Linked DNA regions of Arabidopsis thaliana. The protein of the gene in region 3 interacts with the protein of the main gene of each other region in a pairwise test. Each region holds a gene or a part of one and is shown on either strand. Other genes may lie near its edges. The genes, in order: AT4G07950, AT5G44520 and CBL.

Evidence for each region.
Region 1: the proteins of CBL (region 3) and AT4G07950 interact in a two-hybrid assay, tested with the Arabidopsis thaliana proteins (one large-scale study listed by BioGRID).
Region 2: the proteins of CBL (region 3) and AT5G44520 interact in a two-hybrid assay, tested with the Arabidopsis thaliana proteins (one large-scale study listed by BioGRID).

What each region holds. Positions count from the first base shown.
Region 1 is NC_003075.7:4,795,454-4,800,091, reverse strand, and holds AT4G07950 (DNA-directed RNA polymerase, subunit M, archaeal), read right to left. Parts: upstream 2,252-4,638; 5' UTR 1,941-2,251; intron 1,206-1,940; 5' UTR 1,183-1,205; coding exon 987-1,182; intron 707-986; coding exon 582-706; 3' UTR 297-581; downstream 1-296.
Region 2 is NC_003076.8:17,934,278-17,938,915, forward strand, and holds AT5G44520 (NagB/RpiA/CoA transferase-like superfamily protein), read right to left. Parts: upstream 2,278-4,638; 5' UTR 2,255-2,277; coding exon 2,024-2,254; intron 1,887-2,023; coding exon 1,759-1,886; intron 1,462-1,758; coding exon 1,392-1,461; intron 1,309-1,391; coding exon 1,201-1,308; intron 1,115-1,200; coding exon 1,019-1,114; intron 935-1,018; coding exon 878-934; intron 779-877; coding exon 661-778; intron 589-660; coding exon 522-588; intron 439-521; coding exon 333-438; 3' UTR 10-332; downstream 1-9. Other genes in the region: AT5G44530 (Subtilase family protein), read left to right, coding at 3,654-3,865, 3,956-4,115, 4,204-4,601.
Region 3 is NC_003074.8:21,112,108-21,116,745, forward strand, and holds the start of CBL (cystathionine beta-lyase), read right to left. Parts: upstream 2,631-4,638; 5' UTR 2,415-2,630; coding exon 2,352-2,414; intron 2,290-2,351; exon of another isoform or gene 2,224-2,289; coding exon 2,055-2,223; intron 2,006-2,054; exon of another isoform or gene 1,953-2,005; coding exon 1,837-1,952; intron 1,757-1,836; coding exon 1,686-1,756; intron 1,586-1,685; coding exon 1,494-1,585; intron 1,389-1,493; coding exon 1,301-1,388; intron 1,213-1,300; coding exon 1,101-1,212; intron 996-1,100; coding exon 899-995; intron 794-898; coding exon 712-793; intron 632-711; coding exon 514-631; intron 414-513; coding exon 306-413; coding exon of another isoform or gene 285-305; exon of another isoform or gene 217-284; coding exon 114-216; intron 8-113; coding exon 1-7. Other genes in the region: AT3G57060 (binding protein), read right to left, coding at 2,971-3,068, 3,154-3,558, 3,672-3,876, 3,958-4,109, 4,197-4,254, 4,339-4,454, 4,547-4,638. UniProt on the Arabidopsis thaliana protein: Catalyzes the penultimate step in the de novo biosynthesis of methionine. Its role in methionine metabolism may affect plant development in different organs, probably by modifying plant auxin transport.

The DNA.
Region 1 (4,638 bases), on a different chromosome or scaffold from region 3:
GAGAGTAGTAGCACCATACCCGATCCGTTTGCCATCTGGATCAAGAACGACCAAAGTCGATAGTGGAGCTAGCTATTCGTCCCATACGTTTAGCTTGCCGGAGCTGCCACTCGTAAAGCTTCGCCTATTCAGAACTAGTTGCTAGTCGGGAACCTAGTGGGATGGCACACCGAGAGCCTTAAGTGGTACCATGACTTGCGAAAAACGGTGGCTAATACAGTTTTTTTCCTCTGCTTAGACATCTTCTTGCTAAGAAGACGAAGAAATGTGAGAAATTGAAATCTGGAGGTTACGTTAACAGAGGAAGAGGAAGAAGTCAAATACCAATGCAATAACAAATACATCGCAGTCTTGATACTAAAAATCTCAAAACAGATCAATTTGCTTACATTCTTCACCTCAAAAATTAAAACTTTGCACAATATTCCAAAATTTTATCGATTGTTTTAAATACAGAAACTCTTGAGCTCTGAGACAGAAAGAACCAGAGTACATAGAGGAACTACAAACTTTGTAATGGTAAAACAAACTCAAAGAAGATTGCAAAATTAGCGGGTACAGAGAAGGTGATGATCATCGGTTCATTCCTCACGCCAAGTGAACTCGCACTTCAAGCATCTATAAAATCTTGATTCTGGCTCATCTGCTGAACGAATCTGCATTGATTTGAAGTACGCCTTGTCGTGGCCACACCTTGGACATGGAGCTGTTAAAACAAAACAATCCCAACATGAGAAAGTCATTGAACAAAAAGTCTACTCTACTCTTTCCCCAAGTGTTTTTGCACTTGCATACCATGAATGATGTAATACCACTTTAGCATTATTGTTTTTGCCCTTTCCATAACATGAGTAATTATGTAACTGATTTCCACCAATCAACTTTAAAGTATTTACGAATTTAGTCGACCAATCAACAGAGCATGGACTAACTAACTAATCACAGTTCTAAATTTAGAATAAGAGAAGACCAGAGACTGAAAATACCTTCTGTTTCAGCAGCTGTGGGTATATCATCTTTAGTAACAACAGGTTCTATAGATTTCTTAACCAGAAGTTGCTTCTTCTTTATCTCAACCCGTCTTTCGATATTGGCAACGTATGGACATGTGGAACAGAAGAATCTCGAACTCCCACCTCCCTCGTAGCGCAACAGATTCCCACATGTGGGACAAAACTCCATCTTCCACCTCACCGATCAATTCGCTGCAAAATCATCCCCCACAAAAATCAATTCATAAAACTATGATATAGACAGATATATAGAGACAGAGAGAGGGAAGGGCTGTTTTTAATACATTGTTCTACTGTGTTCGTGTAACAACCAGTTTTTACTTTAATAGCAAGGCAGGTCATGAAGTAACTTATAATTCAAGTAATCCATTCTTAACCGGAAATAACCAATACTTTTCCATAAATTCAACTTTACATTCATTAGACTTTGGTTTAATAATGAAACCAACTCCAAAATCTAGCAATTTAATAATACCACAATTCAATCCACTGACTTAATAATTCGATCCACTAATCCAATCTATACTCACGAGTGACGACCACATTCTAAACCAACAATTCAATTTTTATTGCCAAGATTGACCACATTTTCAATAGAATATACATATTTAATCAAGTGTGGTGAAATCAACAAACCCAATAGCGAAGCTATTGTTCATACATAAACACAAGCACGAAAGAGAGTTTCTGTAACAACGTTTTGACTTTTGACAAATTTGCATACAGAGTCAACAAAAAGTCGAGATCTTTGTGTAACCAAAAGCATAAGAACCAATCAGAACAGTTAACAATAAAAATGATTAAGCCAGAAAACCTAGAACACAAATTCGTGAAACCCTAAATCTCAGAACAAAATAAAGATCGAATTCGCAAGATTGAACAGATCGACATCATATGAGATCGAAATGATTAAAAAATCGAGCTTACCAGGCGATGCGGGTGGTGTTGGTTACGGAGATTGCGGACGAGACGGCCTAAAGTGGCGGTCTCAGCGGCGGCGATAGATGGAACCTTTGACGGCGATAGATGTAACCTTTGACGGCGAGAGATTGATGTTTGTTTATATATTAAGGCCCATTTGTTTAATTCTCTGGGCATTTAGGCCTCTTTTTATGCTTCTTCTTCTTTTCTTGAGTGTCTTAGGGGTTGATTGGAACAAAAATTAAAAGCCAAAAATTTACTAATCCCACTTTAAGGACTTTATTTAATTTAAAAGCTTTTAAAGTCTATGATTCATAGGCAAACCGACATTTTTGAAGTATCCAAGGAATCTGAGGTAACTGGTTTATTTTATTCTTTTTTTTTTTTCACATAAAAGTTTTTTTTATTAAAAGCATAACATCTTACAATACTTCAAGTACAAAGAGACAAACGCTCAAACCGGTTATTCAAACCCGGTATCAGAGACGGCAAAAAGAAGCCCATTACAAACATAAGCCCAACAATTCATGAAACCACTGGTTGAAGGAAGAGTCGATCATGTCCAGCACAGATACACGTGTCACGAAAGGAGACAATGATGATAACACGTGAGACGTCGGAGTTTTAGGTCATCGTCGGTCAGCCGACATAGTTTGCAACCGAAAGGAATTCTTAGTCACCGGAAAAAGTCGTAACGAGCATCAATACATCAAGGCTCAACAATATCCGATGAACATCACCACCAAATTCAGAGAATCCCAAACAAACTTCGCCGTTAGATCTGCAAAATTGAAATCTTCCATGGATAAACGCAGTTCATGAATTCCGGGATCATCGACTTAAAAGATAAGCTGACAAGGCTTCCATTATTAAACCTAAAAAACAGGAAAGATAAAACGATTCACATGCTTTGGTAAGAAGAAATTAGCCTCAATTACGTTAAAATCAATCCAACGACAACTCCAATCCGCAACTTCAAATCCGATTTTTAAAATTGAGAAAATTAGCTTGAAAATCGAATTAAGCTCTTTAAACAAAGAAGGATCAGAGAATTATGCAGTCAAATCAAAGGATTAAAACGCAAACTAAATCCAAACAAACTAAAGCAAAATGAATCGAGAGAAAACGAAAATAAAAACAAAACCCCAAAGCCAGCCAACCGTCGCTTAAGAAGCCGACGGATGCCAGAAGCAAGCTGACAAACGCTGTGAAAAGCATTGACGGACGGCGGATCGGACATCTCTGCTAACAAAGCCAGATGATGCCGTGAAAGAAGCTGACCAACTACTGCATGAGAAGCCGGTGGATGTCAGACTCAAAGCCAGCGTTAAGAAACTGGACGACGTTAATGGATTTTGTGGAACATCAAAAGAAACTTGGATGTGGCTCTCTCTCTAAAAGATATTAGAGAGATAAGAGAGAGAACTCTCTCACACTCCCGGATGATGGAAAATAAATTAACTGCTTTATTTTATTCAATTCAGGTTCAGTTTTTTAAAGTCACAATGTGAGACTTTTTGGGCTATAAAACAAATAATAAAATAAAATCTGTTTTTCTTTTTTTTTTCTTTTCGTTTTCTCCATGACAAATGAAAAACAATTTCTCTATCAATAAGTAATTTAACTCAAAAATATTTTGATTAATTAATAATCATCTTTCTATTTTCACTTTTTAGAGATCCAGTTTTCATTATTTTTTTGCATCAATTGCATCACAGTGATAGTTCATTGATCCAAAACACCTAATCAGATCTTTATATGGATTAAATATATTTTTTATTTACTGAGATTTGAGTATATTTATCTATTTATTTTATTTTGTATTTTTCTAAAACTTATAATAAATTAATTTTGTTAGTATATTATCACAAAACTCATTTTCAAATAATTCACAATTCTAAATATATATTGTAAAAATAATAGTAACAGTTTCTACAGTTTTTAGTTCCAATCATACTTTAACAGCCAAAGTTTTTAAAGTCAAAGTCTTTACAGCCAAATTCTCTACAACCAAAATTTCTATAGTCAAAGTCTGTATAGCCAAATATAACAGTCGTTACCAATCGACCCCAAATTTTTTAGTATTTCGGCTTTGTAAAATTTCTTGAAAAGTAACCACTACTTCACTTAACGATAGAAGTTAGAACGATCAAGGCATAAAAACCGGAACCAAAGAACCAAACCAAACCAAGCTGAAAAAGGGTTCCGGTTCGTATCAAGATACCACTAAATACTCCTGTTGAATCTCAGTCAAACTATCCATTGGATATTGGATATTGGATATACGGTATACGCAAACCGAAACGGATATCTATGGATACCCAAATCGAACCAAAAAATATTTGGTCAACTCTATACAAAACTACATCTAAGCCAATACATTTTTAAAAAACCTATCACCCAAAAAAGTTTTGTTAATTTTTTAATATTTTGGACCATTATTATTTTGGTAAAAAAGTTTCGGATATTTTTCGTTTCTTTTTTTGGTATTTTGAGTAAAATGATCAAAACCGAACCGATATCTATTAGAATTTGGTAATTTGTCGGCTCTCTTTCTAAGTATCTGAACCGAACCGAAACTTTTTTGGTTCCCTTATGGATCCTAAGAGGCTAGAACAGCATAATCAAACGCCCAAGCCTAATATTTATGTATTAAATTATTATAATAATAATTCAAATATTCGAATTATTACATAAGTTTTAC
Region 2 (4,638 bases), on a different chromosome or scaffold from region 3:
GACAGAGAATATTGACATTAGCAAAAGAGGAGGGTTCATGGATGTTTCCTACCACCAAATATAATTATTTAATGATATTTTCATGGAAAATTTGTGGTATACTACATCACTGACCCTGTAACGTAGGCTATAATATAATCTTAAGAATTTTTCCAACATATAAGATGACGACAGAATTATATAATGAGTACAATCAATTTATACCTTGATTGTTGTTTGGAATGAACTGATTATAGAAAAAGAACTTGTAGAAGTTACGGCATTGCTCTATGAACTGACTTATAAATTGACTGGCAAAATGGATCACCGTTTTCGGTAATGTGTGAGACGAACTACTTTTGCAAAGTCTGTCCATAGGTTCGTACACCACCCTCCAATGCACTGGTCTGCAAGGTAACACTTCTTACAACAGTTTCTTCTGCAATCACCACCGTGCATCTGTAATGCCAAAAGTAGAAAACAGATTCTTACTACTGACCAATGACATACTAAACCTGACTGCTTAATTTGGAGAAACTAACCGAGTTTTGATAATTAGTCCATGGTCCACAACCCCATCAATCTTATCAAGGCTTGTAGCCAAGTCAGCTGCAGGATTTTGCATCCATCAACAATAGAGACCATTGCACAAGTTTCAATGGTTACAGTATAAGCTTTTACCGAGGCTTCGAATCGGAGTTGTAAATATAACATCAAGAATGTTGTGACCATCACTGGTAACTATAGGAAAGTCTCCTCCAAGAGGGCCTTCATTTTCAACAGAAGCTCTTCTCCACACCTTTTCCACCAAGTAAAATACAATGACTCAAACAAGGCTTGACACAATCGATAGAACCAAAAGCCCGAGAAAGCATTTATGAAAGAAGCAGATTCACACCTCTGCATCGCCTAGATACAAGTCATCTATCTCCTCAGCTATGGCCAACCAATTAAGCTGCAATCAAAGTTCAAGGAATAAAAGTTTTGAATCATATCACCAAGGGATTAAAACGAAGTTCATCAGTAGAAATTTACTTACAGATTGAACTAAAACAGGGATAGAACCTTCAAGACCGGCTTTGTATTGTTCTTCCTTTATCATGAAGACTGCCTCATCAGCTACTTTTACAATAGACTGTATTGTAAAATCTCTCTTTTGTCAGCCCAAAGCTAAGCAATGAGTATTCAAAGACTGCAAAAAGTACACGAAACTGCATACACCTTTTGTTTCAGAATATAGTCATCTTCCTGTGAACTTCTCCGCCGTCCAATAACTGCAATAAGCGTATTCTCTTCTACAGCATCAGCATCATGAAATGCAAAATCAATCTACAAAAGTGTCACACTGCAAACATTACCCCTAGATGCAGAAATAGATCAAACCGCTTTAGAAAACACAGAGAAGCAGCTACCTGAACACCATCCCGGTAATATTCCAAGGGGATTCCATACTTTGCTGCTTCACTCGCACTTCGAGCAGACCTGAAAAAGGGTCAGGACAAATCATCATGAAGCCTATCAAAACTCAACTCGTAACATAAAAGATTGAATATAGAGAGATCAACAACTGAACAAACAAAAAGATTGATACTTTATTTGGAGTCATAGAAGATAACCAGCAGCAGAATCAGAATCAAAAGACTCACATTGGTACACCAACAACAAAATCATTATCGAAGAACTAATGAATAGGGAAATTCAACAACTGAACAAACAAAAGATTGATTTTTTATTGGATTCATAGTAGATAAACATCAGAGAGAGAAGCAAAAGACTTACATTGGTACACCAACAACATTATGTAAAGAACCAGAACCAAGTTGTTGACCCAAATAACGTATAGCAAAATCTGAAGCTTCTCCAGATCCTAAACCAATAATCATCCCACTCTTTACATAATTATCCACCTGAAAACATTACCAGACAAAAGTTTTGTAATCAAGTATCAATCTTTCTTCAATTTTATGAATTTTCAACACAATTTCAAACAATACCCATTTGAAATTGAGTTTCAAGGATTCAATTTTCCCGATTTAACCCTTACAGTGTGATGAGCTGCTCTGAGAAGAGGAGAAACCTCCGGAGAAAGACTGGCGCAAACTGGAAAACGTTTGAAATTACGACGGCGCGTGAAAACCACGGACGACGAGAGTGAAAATGGAGTTGATGCTGTCGCAGTAACCATTTTTTTTGTGTGGGAAGAACGATTTGAGTCACTGAGTCGTGACTCGGTGGTTTTTACCGCTCTTATCTCCCGATCAGTTTTGTGGTGCATGTGGAGTACGAACTACGACGATATTACACGACCATTTTCTTTTTGGAGAATTACGAAAATAGGCTAAATTATATATATTTTGTTCCAAAAAAAATGATAAAATATATATTAAATATTTATTTTCATATAATTTTATAATTTTAAAGCAACACATAAATTACTAAGTTCCAAATATTATTTTTGAATTTTTAAACCTAAATTTTAAATTCTAACTATATCCTTAAATTTTATTTTATGGTCTTTGAGCTAATCCGTTTTTTTTTAATCTAATGTTAAATTATATTAGAAAAAAAACATCGGTTTTTACAACAAGTACGACAAAATTTGAATTTGAGAAAAAACTGAAATTTGAAAAATTAAATAAATTTTTAACTTCTAGAGGCAAACCACATTTAGAGTCCTCTATGATATCTCCTATCTCCTAAAGTCTGATAAAGGAAAGAGTGTTTCAGGTTTGCTTATCAATCCAACGAATTAGTCGAGCTGTCTGTCGTATTAGAATTCTCCCCATGTCTTCTACCATTTTGTTCTCGCCAAATGGTGTAGACTGACACTACATATCACATTTGTGACGTATTAAAACTATATATCACATTTATGATTACGATAAACAGTACCTATCAATTTTACGATACAGTTCTCTGCAACATTAAAATCCACAATGGACGGTTATGCATATACGATATATTTTGATGAAAATGTTTTTCTCAAACGGTTCTACAAATACGACATTCTCTAGATGAACATGTTCTCCATGAAAACGAATAACTCTACGTGCCACATTCTACAACCTTTCATTAAGTATACATCCACTAATTGGCAAGAATCTACACTTTTTGGGAATCAAAACCCTATCTTGTATCATTTTGGATATCTTATTAGTATTGACGATCCAACGAGGAAAAAAATAAATAATTGAAAGAAAACAAAAAGGAGAGTCATTTAAGTTTGATCGCACTTATGAGTGTTCCTTGCTTCCTTTCTCCTCTACTTTAAGCACATGTGGGAACCAAATTCTTCGTAACCACTCAATTTGGCTCACAATTTTTCAATATCCAATAAAAAACAGTTTCATATATTTTCTCGTGAGATTATTCAGTTCTTCCTAATATCTATCTATCTCTATATTACATATATACAATATTATATAAATACGCACTCTTCTTTCACCGACCTCCTTACACCAAAAAGGTGTCAATTCCACTTGTTCACCATGAATATGATTTAATGGGTTCTTCTTCTTTTGCAGCTTTCTTTCTTTTCCTTAAATTATCATTGTTTTAGGTGGGGTTTTAAGTGCTTTCATGACTCATTCATTCTCTGTATAAAACCTAGTGGAAAGTGTTAAATCAAAAACCCTTTTTTCCCACTTTCTTAATTTAGAAGGGAGACGAAAAAAATGGTTAGAGTAATGTTGGTGAGGTTTGGGTTTTTATTACTTATGATCTCTTTTGTGTTTTTGTCTAATAACACTTTGGGACAACAACAAGACGATGATGATGATTCTGCTGTGTACATTGTCACACTTAAACAACCTCCTATTGTCCATCTCTTTGAAGAACAAGAGCTTAAACACAAAAAGTCAAAGTTTACACCAAAATTGCGACCAAGGTACTGATAAAATTCTATTCTTTTTGTTGTCATTAGATTCTCTGTGAAGCTTTAGTTAAACCCTTTTTGTATTCTGCGTTTTTATTATAGGAACAATTCAAGGAAACGTCATGGGAAGTCAAAGATACCATCTGTTGTTCAATCTCATGACTCTTTCTTGAGAAAGACTCTAAAAGGAGAGAAGTATATAAAGCTTTATAGTTACCATTATCTTATCAATGGATTTGCTCTGTTTATTAACTCACAACAGGTAAAAATCTTGAGTTATTGATAATTGTAGAAATAATCTTGAGTTCTTGATCTTGATTTTTTTGTGTTATGGTTTTTCTTTTTTTAAGGCTGAGAAGCTTTCAATGAGAAAAGAAGTAGCAAACATAGTGTTGGATTACTCTGTTAGGACAGCAACAACTTATACTCCACAGTTTATGGGTTTACCACAAGGAGCATGGGTCAAAGAAGGTGGATTTGAGATTGCTGGAGAAGGAGTTATAATCGGTTTTATCGATACTGGGATCGATCCGAATCATCCTAGTTTCAATGACAATGACTCTAAGCGTTCATATCCAATCCCTAAGCATTTCTCAGGTGTTTGTGAAGTTACACCGGATTTTCCATCAGGATCTTGCAATAAGAAGCTTATTGGAGCACGGCATTTCGCGCAATCCGCTGTAACCAGAGGAATCTTTAACTCATCTGAAGATTACGCTTCTCCTTTCGATGGAGATGGACATGGAACGTAAGTGTAACTGTTGAATGTATCATATAAAAACAGA
Region 3 (4,638 bases):
ACACTCCCTGTTGTCAAAGAGAAAAAGTGGAAGAGATCAAAATCCAAAATAATCCCAAAGCTTATTAAAGCTTCTCCAGAAGAAACACAATATAAGTACTCTTTGAGCCTCACCAAAACTGACAGCTATGCTGAAGTATTTGGTGGTTTCTACGAGATGCTTTGAAAGCGCAACTGATCCAGTTATAAAGCTAAAAACTGATCCTGCACCCTTCGCCTGCATATATGAAAACAGTTATATCTTAGATAGAGAACTTAATCTATTTTCTTCTTATTTTTCGTAGATCAGTTTATGCTTTTTAGTACCTGAGAGAAGTGGAGATGGTGACCAGGATGATCTGGTAGACCAGCATAGTACACTTTCTTTACTCTTGGATGAGAAGACAAGTACATTGCAATTTTCCGTGCGTTTTCCTGAAGATTTTTGCCATCTATTGTAAGTAATGAAACCAACCAATAAAAGAAAAGAAAAGAGAACAACATTTCAAGGTAATTAGGGGGTTCAAGTCAAGACCTGTTGCTTTTCTATCCGTAAAGCCATTGTCTTGATTCCTCGAAGGCAAAGCCAACAGTCGAAAGGAGCTAATCCAGAACCTTCTGAGTTTTGGAGGAAATACACCTCCTTTGCCAATCTGGAAAGTTTAACACTATTATAAGAAAAGCAGATATTTCAAAGAAATGTCTCAGATAGAAAAGAGTAGAGGCAACATACTTTTCGCCTTTTACAGCAAGCACACCTGCCATCACGTCACTGTGTCCGGCTATAAACTTAGTAGCCGAGTGCATCACGATGTCTAAAAAGCCAGACAAGTTGAAATATGAGTATTAAGAAGCAAATTTGAGAACAGAAAAACGAAAATTTTAGCCAATAGAAAGCAAGTCTGAGTTGTTTTACACACCAGCTCCAAGTTCTAATGGCCGAGAGAGCACTGGTGACATAATACTGTTGTCCACCAACACAAGAGCACCTTGAGCATGAGCCATCTCAGATATTTTCTACAAAGACAGAAAACCATCAAACCAATTAAACATTACAGCAGAATAAGTCGATTTCGGCCATGTGGTATCTGGCTCCAAACTTTGTAGAAACAGAGTATTTACTCGTATATCAGAAATTTGTTGTCTTGGGTTTGTTGGAGACTCAAGCCACACAAGCTTTGTTTGGGGACCAATTGCAGCAGCAACCTCGTCTAACTTAGTTGTGTTTACTCGTCTACAAGATTTTTAATGGTATCATTAAGTTATCTTAGTTGTAAGAATAACTAGTTATATAATTCAGAATCAAAGGTAGCAATACTAACTTTACCACAACGCCAGATCTTGGAACAACTTGGGATAGTAATCTGTCAGAGCCACCATATACATCATCTCCAGCAACAATTTCTTCGCCTATAGAAACAAAATCAAATGTACTACAATGAAACCAAGTCTATGCTACCGATCTAATACACTGAAAGACATTACAATCCAGGAGAAGTCAGTATCGGAAATTACCATTTTTGATAAGATGTGTAACAGCACTAAGAGCAGCCATTCCGCTAGTAAAGCAAAATGCTCTATCTGCCTTGTCAAGCTTCGCAAGGAGGCTAACAAACGAATACAACTTCTATAAGTAATGTTGAACAAACACACATACAAATATAGCTAAATAACCTAGGAATCGAGAAGATGCTAAGAAACAATTACCTTTCCAATGCATCCCGTGTAGGATTGCCACTTCTTGTATAATCATAAGGTCCATTTTCAATAGCAGAAGGCTACAATAAGCAAAGAAACTAGTATCAAGTGACAAAATCTTCTCGTAGTAAACGAAGTTGTTCGCTTTATGGCTGAATACCTGCTTAAAAGTAGCAGTTTGGTAAAGCGGAGTGCTCATTGCATCAAAGGGATCAAATTTATTATCCAAGTTCACCAATAATGTAGAGACGCTAGCTTCTTCTTTGATATTCATAGCTGCAAAAACATTGAAACACCATCAATCAATAAAAAAGACGCTAACTTTATGATTATCATCAATATGATCCAATAAAAAGAAGTTATTTAAGCTTAACGAACTATTTAAGCTATCAGTGGTATTGTTAACGGTAGAATGAGTTTGACCATCGACACTTTTCTCCATCACGCAATTCAGCTTGAAAGAGTTCCGATTTGAGATCTGCTTCTTCTCCCAAGTTGGAACCTTGGAAATGGAAACACTGGTCGGAGAGTTCTTACTGATCAAACCCTTCAGAGAAACACCCAGAGACGAAAATGATTAGATATCACTTAAATTGGTAGAGCCAGACCAAAAGCAAAAGAAAAGGGATTAACTTTATCTGAGGTCGATAAATTATATTAAAATAAAAAGCTTACTCGGTCGGAGAGATCAGCGAAGGAAGGTACGAAGGAGGAGTGAAGTGACAGAGAAGATGTCATTTTGGTAGATGAAAGAGAACTAAATTGCTTTTTCTCCGGCGTCGATTTCTCGTCTGAGATATTAGCCGACGAGATAATAACGGCGACGGAGACAGTTCTCGTGCTCAAGTGAGAGTAGAGACGACTGAAGAGAAACCGAAGGTCTCTCGGCTTTAAGTCTCGGTTTTGGTTTCTTTCGGTTTATTTAGATACGATAAGACAAAACCGAAATAAATCTGGTCTGGTTATAACACGTGGAGGAAAGTAGGTGTACACCTACTCTTAGTCTTAACTCTTAAGTACCCATGAGGCCACTAATATATTCGTCAGTGAAACTGACAAGAAAAAGGAAATTTGATACAAAACTAATTCAGATCTTATATATTTTGGCTACAAATTGTCATAACTAAACCGGCTAGGACATTAGACATAAATATTGTCGATTCTTCAATATCTAAGCATAATAGGGAGAAACAAAAGCGGTGACCAAAACAGACGTAAATTATAAGATAGCTCTCGAGATGTTGAGCAACTTGAACAGACATTCGCTCTCTCTCTGCATCTACACAATGGTTCTTTAACTTCTACTTCCTGACCTCAGGTTTCTCCTGATGCTGCTCGATGACTCTGTACTCTTGCTTTCTGATTCGCCTTCTTCCCCTGAAAACCTCACAACTTTACTTAACGGTATATAACAATTTCTAAAATGTAGCTTAAGTTGTGTGAGATTTTTGAAATACATATTGAAGTTTTCACATACCGCCACTAGTCTTTTGGTTTAAGGAACGAGGATTGGTCGTACCACATTGTGCAGAATCTGGCTCTTCCTCCGAGTCAGATGGCTCTTCCTCTGAGTCAGATTGCTCTTCCTCGGACTCAGTTTCAATCAAATTATCGCCACTAGTCTTTCGGTTTAAGGAACGAGGATTGGTCGTACCACATTGTGCAGAATCTGGCTCCGAGTCAGATTGCTCTTCCTCGGGCTCAGTTTCAATCAAATTATCGCCACTAGTCTTTTGGTTTAAATAACGAGGAATGGCCGTACCACATTGTGCAGAATCTGGCTCTTCCTCCGAGTCAGATGGCTCTTCCTCTGACTCAGTTTCAACTAAATTATCGCCTGATTCTTCCATTGATGGATCCACAATTTCACTATCTGAAACACCTGAGAATACAAAAAACAGTCCATTTTGAAAAGCTTGCCGTTAACTGGCATTTGACTATCGTAAGTCTGGTACAGTGAACTTTGCTTTAGCCAAGAGTCAAAAAATTACTAACCTTCACCTTCATCATATTCTTCTACAGGTTCTTCTTTCACTTTGCTGAGGACAGCAAGGGATTCCATGGTCTTGGTTTTCTCTCTATGAACCTCGGCATTTCTTGCGGTTTCTTCTTGTTCTTTCTTCTCCATGTGGAACTTGTTGATCTTCTCTTCAAACTCTTCGATACACGCTTTCAGTTCTGGCTTCGCAAACTTCTTTCCCTGTTCAGATTCACAACCAGATGTCAAACTAACATATAGCATTAAAAATGACTAGGGTGACGAAAACCAGAGAAACCAGACCTTATTGATTATGCTTCTAAAGTTCTCGGTCACCAAATCCTCTGCTAAAGCGTGCTCGTAAGACTTGAATGACTCAATAAGCTTTTTGATTCCCTTTTCTGTGAATGTCAGCAGCGAAAGAGAATACGAAATGTATTCCCACTGTTTTCCATCTGCAAGTTTAGGTGTAGATGTCAAAGGGATATACTTCTTATTAAACCCAAAACAGGTGTAAGGATATATCATCAATACAAGCATACCTGTGACTCCGCTAAACCTATTGCAAAGCTTCTCAACTAGAGCCTCCATCTGTTTGTCCTGGAGATTGATGAGGATGCAGATGAGTGATTAGATAAGAATAAATACAGGTCATACTAACTTCAATATTGAAAAGCTGTATACCTTTTTGATGGAGCCGATCAAGAATTGCATGACATTACAGAATGACTCCCTCTCTAAATTCCGGTTGGATAACTGCCCAAGTATATCAGGAAGTAGATTGTATATGGGATTCGATCCTGGATTTGTTTGGCAGAAAATAAACTTAAGTGTTAAATTTGATTCAAAGGTGGAAGTTGCTATGTCATGTAAAGCAGCTATTGCAACTGACCTTTCTTAGACAGTTCATGGAAAAATAGTTTTGCGAGACTAGAGATCCTCTCCACATCATCTTCTATACATATAGCCATTTCATATATATAA